Cricetulus griseus: one gene and its partner. The protein of the gene in region 1 binds, or shares a complex with, the protein of each later gene. Links are inferred from orthologs where the notes say so. Each region holds a gene or a part of one and is shown on either strand. Other genes may lie near its edges.

Region 1 (3,653 bases):
TACTGTCATTTCTACTTATGTTAAAACATTGTAAGTTTAGTCAGATCAACTGAGTAAACAAAATAAAGCAAATGCATCCAAACAGGAAAGGTATAATGAAAATGATCTGTTTATAAATGACATTGGATGTAGAAAAACTTAAAGAATCCACACACAGACTTAGGAGTTTAGCTCAACTGAAAAGCACTTGTCTGATACATATAATGTCCTGGGTTATTTCATCAATATAGGGAAAAAGAAGAAAAAAAAATCACTACAAAACACAGTTAACAATAACAAGTTCAACAAAATAGAGGAATAAATAAACCAACACACAAAAATCAATTCCTGTTTTAAACATATGCCCACCATGGGGGCATACACCTATCCCAGAATGGGGAAGCTGAAATAGTTTGGAGGAAAGCCAGGTCAAAATCAAATTATTAAAACCCATGAAATTCTAAAGTATTTAACTCCATTCCAGCATATTTTTAATTATGTATATAGGTGTATGTTTCTGCATGTACTGCCTATAACACCATTTAACAGGGGCTGGAGAGATGACTCAGATTAAGAGTACTTACTGCTCTTCCAGTGGACCCAAGTTCTGTTCCCAGCATCTGTATCAGGCAGCTCATAACCAACCATAACTCCAGTTTCAGAGGATCCATTGACTCTGGCCTCAGCAAAGACCCCCCATATATGTGCAAATGAAAAACACATACCTACATACATAATTAAAAATAAATCCAAAAAGAAAAAGAGTATTCATAACCTAACAGTTCTAGGTGGGTCCCCACAGCATATGGAAGACCTGGCTGGTGAGATCTGCCTGTCAGTCACTCAGAGATACTGAACACTTCACCCCCAATTTTCTCTCCACTAAAAAAAAGGGGGGGAGTAATAGGGAAGTTGAAGGCAATTAGTATCCTATGCTAAAGATTGTGCTTATAGGGCTGGGATGTCACAAAGTTTCTAGAGTTCTTGCCTACAATACACAGTCTATAGGTTTGATCTCCAACAATGCCAAAACTGGATGTGATATGCCTACATGTATGTTCGTATCAAGATGATATGTGGTACCTTCAGAGGACAGAGGAGAGCACTGGGTCACCTAGAACTAGAGTTAGAGAAGGTTTCAAGCACTCATGAACTCCCATGTGGTTCTAGGAAGTAGATTGCAGCAAGTATGAGGGCAGCCTGGGACAGAGTGAGAGTCCTTGGCTCAAAATTGCAGCAAGTGTTGTCTTTAATCTCAGCACCTAGGAGTCAGAACTAGGTCAATCTCTGTGAGTCCAAAGCCAGATTGGTCTACTAGGCAAGCACCAGGCCAGCCAAGGCTACTTACTTACTAAAACGTGTCTCAACAGCAGCAATGAGTGGATGCAGACCAACAGCAATTTGGTTACAGGCACTTCAAGGCTATAAAAAAATCACACCAAACTACAACAGACATGCTTTCCAAAGTCCTCAATATAAAATGTACTTCTGCAATGCCCTTGAGACAATAACCTATACATCAACCCACCAAAACATATTAAAAAAAAATGTAATGTGGCCAGTTACTAAGCAATTAAACTTCTAAATACATATTCCTCTATATATCACAATGCACTTGAACTGAATGAGTAAGAATATGTCCATTTCCTAATAACTGGAACTGATCACTCACCTGAGACCATGGTCTGTGATCTGATAACATCCAGATAGACTGAGGAACAAAAGTACTCGTCCAGTCTCTTGGTCAGACTTTTCACTCCCAAAATAAATTAAGTCTTTTGCCCTAGGCAATGTAGTCCTTAATGCTTTCCTACACATTGTAGAAGTCGCTGGGAGTGCAGACATAGTCCTTAGAGCTGTCCCTGTGCAGCAGAATGAATGACCACAATATGCAAAGGCTGGAGAAGCACAATGCTGCTGCCAACAAACTCTGGTCCTTAATCCCACAAAGTCCCTATTGTAACAACCAGATGAAGAACAACCAAAGTTGGAGGCTGTTTCCATTACACAGAGACTTTCAACATTTCTGTGTCTCCACTCTACAGCATCTTCGATATCAGCCAAATCTTCAGCATCTAGCATCCACACGTAAGGAGAAGTAAAACTTTCAGAAGATACAGGTTTAGTCCAAGAGTGATCATTGTCTATTTTTTCACCAACACCTTTGTCAGTTAAATTGTGCAAGCAGGCATACTGCTTGGAGGATTGCATGGTAATGTCTTTATTTATCCATGGAGCTGAAGTGGCCTTGCCTGCACTTTTCAAAAAGCCACTCTGATGAGATGTCAGCACTCCAAGAGCTCTAGAAATCTTCTCTAGAGCCATGTCTGTGATTTTTTCACATCCAGACAGATCAAGATGCCGAAGATTCTGGCAGCAACCAAGCCAAGACCAACTACAAGAGGAAAGAAGACTATTAAATTCTCAAAAGCATTAAACTACATACATACAGATGAGCATTAGAATTATTTTAAATACAAAATCATCACTTAAACGTTTCTGGAATTTATATCATTAGGGGATATTTTTAGTGCTAGGAATACAAAAAGATACTAAGACAAGTAATTAAAAAAACAAGTATTATTTCTAACCTAGTAGAGGACAGGATGTGAGAAAGACATGGATGGGAGAAATGTAAGTGTCCTATTCTACAAGTAAACAGTAGAGGAAAAGCAGTGTACACATGGAGGACTCAATACTGCATAATGAAGATTCAGAAGAAGCAAACTCTAGAAATGGGTAGAAGAATCTCTCTCTCCCTCTGAAACAGGATATATCAGAACTTGGAAGAAAGGGGAAGCTAAAATAAGAAGAAAACTAGTAGCCTCTAAGGAAGAAGCATTTGCAAAGAGTGTGGCTTGAACAAACTGGTACTGAACCAGAAAAACAATGAATTAAAAGGGAGTTTTGAAAAATAGCACTTAAAAACTGGAATAAAACCTTGAAAATGGGTAATGTTGATCTAGAAAGTTACAAAGCAAGATTCATAAGCTTAGACACTACGTACAGATGGCTGTAAAAATGTTCTGGATCAGCTGCCATATATAAACAAAAGGCAAGTTACAGCTACACATGGCAGGAATTTAGCAGGAATATAGAATGAGTAAACAGCGATTATGTAAGCAAGAAAATAGAGAATTTTTTACTGATTTCATAGTCAGAATTTATTATATTTGAAAATAAATAACCTGTCAAATGCAGAATCAGAAATATCAGTCTGGGTAAGATCCAGATGTTCCAGGTTAGGACAAAGCTCTAAAATCTGCCTAACCTAAGAAAGAAAAGAAAGTCGCCATGAGGACACATGGAGCTTTAGTTAGATAAGCAACAGACAATACTAAATATAACCCACTGGCTTTTCCTAAGTCTATACTCATACTGAAAGAAAAAACTTAAAGAACACATTAAAATAGATATACTCTGTGCTCAAATTCTTTTGGTTTGTGTGGTATATGTGGAGCCCAGAAGTTAATTCCTATATCTTCCTCCATTTAATTTTCTGATAACTGTTTTCCCTGAACTCTAAAGCCACAGGTTCTGCTAGTGTAGCTGCCAATGAATACCAGGAATCTGCTGTCTCTGCACACAGTTCTCCTGACCCCCAGCACTGTGGTTAGTTACATTCTATTATACACTTATCTGTATATGCTGGGGATCCAAACTCTGGTCCTTGT
Region 2 (3,753 bases), on another chromosome or scaffold:
CACCCCAGAGGCAGAATTGTCATGAGTTTGAATCCAATTTAGGCTACAAACCAAGATCTTCTCTAAACTAATGGTGGTGGTGGTGGTGGTGGTGGTGGTGGTGGTGGTGGTGGTGGTGGTGGTGGTGGTGGTGGTGGTGGTGATAAAAATAAAAGTGATGAAACGCATGTCCGTTACAGGGTGTAAAGGCTGTTTTGGCTGAAAGTTATGAAAAAATCCACAAAGATCATTTGATTGGAATTGGCATAGCTCCACTTGAGTTTCTCCCAGGAGAAAATGCAGACTCCTTGGGACTCTCTGGTAGAGAAGTATTTTCTTTATCATTTCCTGAAGAACTCTCTCCTGGAATTACATTAAATATGAAGGTATCTGAAAATTTCCAAATACATAATTGTGTACTCTGTACTCAGATAGGTGTAAGTTGAGTAAGAATTGTTTCTAATTGCATGCTAATGTCAGTGCATGTAAGCTGTAGCTTTTTGCTGTTAATCTCTGTTATTAATAGAGCTCATGTTGTCTGAGGAAAAGTAGAAGGAACTGGTTGCTTAGCCTAGAAAAAGATGCCTGGTAGAGGATTGAGGTTCAGTTGCTTCTGCCAGGTTTTCAGCTCTTTCTCTTTTGATCTAACTTTGACCCAGGCAATAATCCATTCCAGAGAGAAGCTAAAGTTCGGCATTCAGGGTTAGACTAAGCCTTTATAACTAAGGAAAGAAAGAAAAGGACAGAGACATTATATGTAATGGACACTTACTGTATAGTAAGAGTAAATAGTGAGTGATAACTTTCATAAAGGAAGCAAAACTAAGTCATGCTATAGAATTGCAAAGTCTGATACTTGTCCTTTAGAATTAGAGATCAAAATACCTGTTTTTCTATTTAGCTAATTGTTTTTAAATAATGGAAGGGTTTTGGGCAATCAAAATGTAGGAATTTAGACCAGGAAAATGAGGCAACAAATCGGGGAGTTAGTGGATGTGAATACAAATGATCTTATTCGAAGCTCTGACACTCACATATCTTTTTGTTTGTTTAAAAGACAAGTACTGGAAAAGAATTCAGCGTGATTGCATCATTTGAGAATGATGTGGAGATAACTTTGTACAAACATGGAGGCTTATTAAACTTTGTGGCTCGAAAATTCTCATAGTATCTACTTGCCATGGTATCTTTTGTGACTGGTAACTGCAAAGCCTTTTGTGCTGGATCCAGGAACCTTTGCCATGGAGCTGCAGATAATTCCAGTACACTTGTTTATGTCATCCATGGATGTAAATGATTATGAATCAATGTAGTGACTGAAATGAAATCTTGATTTTAAATAATATACGAATGGTGCTATTAACATTGCTAAAAATCAACGTGTGAAGTGTGTCGTGGAAGAGGCCTGTAAGTATGGGGGTTATATTTTATCAGAACATTTTGTAAATAAAGACAGAATTTGAACTTGTGTTGAAGATTCATATGAGTAGCCTTTCTGAAGCAGTTTGTTTTGTTTTGCCCTATAAAATTGGACTACTGTTTGTTGGTTTAAGAATAGCAAGTTGAAATACAAGAATCCAGATTAGTCCCTAAAATATTGGGAATGGCTACCTAATTTATAAAGAAATTTTTAAGTGTATTCTTTCCAGGATTGATTGGGACACAGTTAGCATTCCCAATTTGTAATGTAAGTCAAATTTACCCTTAGTCTCAGTATATCTTGAGTAATAGAACCTGCCCCAGATCACAGTCCCTCTGACCAATCCAGCCAAAGTTTACACCATGTCTGAGGATAAATAACTGCAAAATATAGATGATTGTATGGTATCATGTATTAGTAAAAAAATATCTCCTATGGTACAGCCCTGTAATTTTTCAGTAATTTGCCACTGTGACTCTCTGACAAGCCTTGAATACTGGTATATTAATTTAGACTAGATTTTGCTTATTTTACATGATACTATAACTTCTGTAACCTCAATTAGGTATTATCAACTGACATTCCACACTCCTTTTCTAAATGCTGAAAACAACTTCAATCAACTCTAGATTTCCCCTAGACTAATAAATAAATTATCTACCCAAAATTATATGGATATGCACCCCTAAGTATTTTTTAATGCTATTTTTTACAGTCCTTTAAGTTGACTTACTGCTATTTGAGTCTTTATTTGGGATACATCAGTCTTTATTTGGGATCTGTTCATTTCATTATAACTTGTTAATTTTTAATCAAAACTGACCATAAGGATAAGACTCTTGGTGATCATTGCTGTCTGCATGTCATGTGTTCCCAGTTGCATTTATATCTGTTATACCATATGCTTTGTGTTTTAAAACATTTTTTTAAAGGGTTGGAAATTTGTTTTAGAAGTCCCTATAACATTTTAATGAAGAAATTAAACTTGGCAGCAAGATGTTAAATGTAATGATTTTTAAAAATGTTTTCTTCATCTGATCTGTTTTTGTGCATAGCACAAAACAAAAGTACTTGTTTTATGCTAAAATTCAGCAACTACCAAACCAGTGGGTGAAGAGCACTGAGAACTTTGCACATAATCAGTCATACAGTCTGTTGAGAATATTTTTCAAATATGTACTTAGTTGAACTAGAGTTTGACAAAACAAAGTCTCTGTACTAAGTGGTTTTTTTTTTTTTTTTTCCTACTTTGAAATCATATTGTGTTCTGGTAGAAGCCATGTGTCTGTCTATGCATATGTATTAATCTGCATGGAAACCTGAGTTGGGAATGGAGAAGTTACAAATTGAGTATTAAAATACTGGTACATGCTTTGAAAAAATGGTAATTCAGGATGTATTTGTGGGGGAAATGACTTATTTTGAAAGCATACTCTGTCGATAGTCTGAGCTAAAGATGTGGACATAAACATATGAGAGATGATAAACCCAGCTATGAATCAAACACTTACATTTCTAGTCCACCTAGTCCAGTCATGGTATAAAAATTGTATTTCGGGAACAAAATCTTAATCTTATTCTCTTGCTTAGAAACAGTGAACTAAAATCTCAATAAGCACGATTTTAAATGAGGGAGGAAAATTAAACGCATGTCTCAATGCGTATGTATATTTTGTAATTCTGCCTCCAGCCAAATGTTACAAAAATATGCCTGTTTTCAATGTGTTATTTCCTTCATTGACTATTTTTAGTACTTTTGTGTTATTTTCTAAACATTACCAATATTTGGGAAAGGAAGTGAACACAAAAAAGCAAATCAGTATTGTGAATGTAGCGCAGTTACCAACAGCAGCATTTTAGTCTCAAGCATTGTGTTCCATGCTGTTGTGTGCCTTAGTTGTGTTGCTCATACAAATGAGCAACGGGTATCTCTTTCTCTGTGTTAGCACTTGGATGAGAGGCATCTCTTCACCTGACTGTTTGGATTTTCACTGGTATTAAACTAAAAGCTGTAAAGTGAAGAGCTCAGGCAGAGTCAAGTTATTTGCATATGTGATAACAATATAATGTGCATTCCTCTTCTCAGTGGTGACAGGATGAGAAAATTTGACAGTTTTCAGGGGTTGAAAAACCACCTTCCTTTTTGCCTTTGAGTCTAGGGAGAAGATACTAAGATACTGGATAATGATACTATAATTGATTTGAGGGGAAAAACAGGGAAAGGAAGTAGACTTTGACTGTTTCAATGGAATTTTTTCCCCTTCAAGGGGGACTGTGACTGTGCTGATGTGGTCTTTTTGTTTTGTTTATCAATTTTATGCATAATATGTGGCTATAAAACCATATATATCTCT

What was found. Proteins that work in one complex are often made in the same cells at the same time.
Region 2: the proteins of Fbxl5 (region 1) and Ireb2 are in contact, whole or in part, in a cryo-EM structure (PDB 6VCD), measured with the Homo sapiens proteins. The link is inferred for Cricetulus griseus from reciprocal best matches to the Homo sapiens genes FBXL5 and IREB2. Residues at the interface, in NP_036293.1 of Homo sapiens: Asp656, Glu657, Tyr661, Cys662, Asp663, Asn664, Ile665, His669, Ala670, Asp671, Thr672, Ala673, Ser674, Gly675, Cys676, Gln677, Asn678, Leu679, Gln680, Cys687, Arg688, Ser689, Gly690, Glu691; in NP_004127.2 of Homo sapiens: Asp89, Phe90, Ser129, Asn217, Val220, Glu221, Arg224, Arg228, Ala758, Gly759, Ser760, Arg763, Asn764, Thr777, Pro778, Arg779, Asn782, Ser783, Tyr784, Gly785, Ala786, Arg788.

Annotation. Positions count from the first base shown.
Region 1 is NW_023276807.1:112,367,768-112,371,420, forward strand, and holds part of Fbxl5 (F-box/LRR-repeat protein 5), read right to left. Parts: intron 3,251-3,653; coding exon 3,168-3,250; intron 2,375-3,167; coding exon 1,652-2,374; intron 1-1,651.
Region 2 is NC_048597.1:166,526,424-166,530,176, forward strand, and holds the end of Ireb2 (iron-responsive element-binding protein 2), read left to right. Parts: intron 1-179; coding exon 180-365; intron 366-1,036; coding exon 1,037-1,147; 3' UTR 1,148-3,314; downstream 3,315-3,753. UniProt on the Homo sapiens protein: RNA-binding protein that binds to iron-responsive elements (IRES), which are stem-loop structures found in the 5'-UTR of ferritin, and delta aminolevulinic acid synthase mRNAs, and in the 3'-UTR of transferrin receptor mRNA.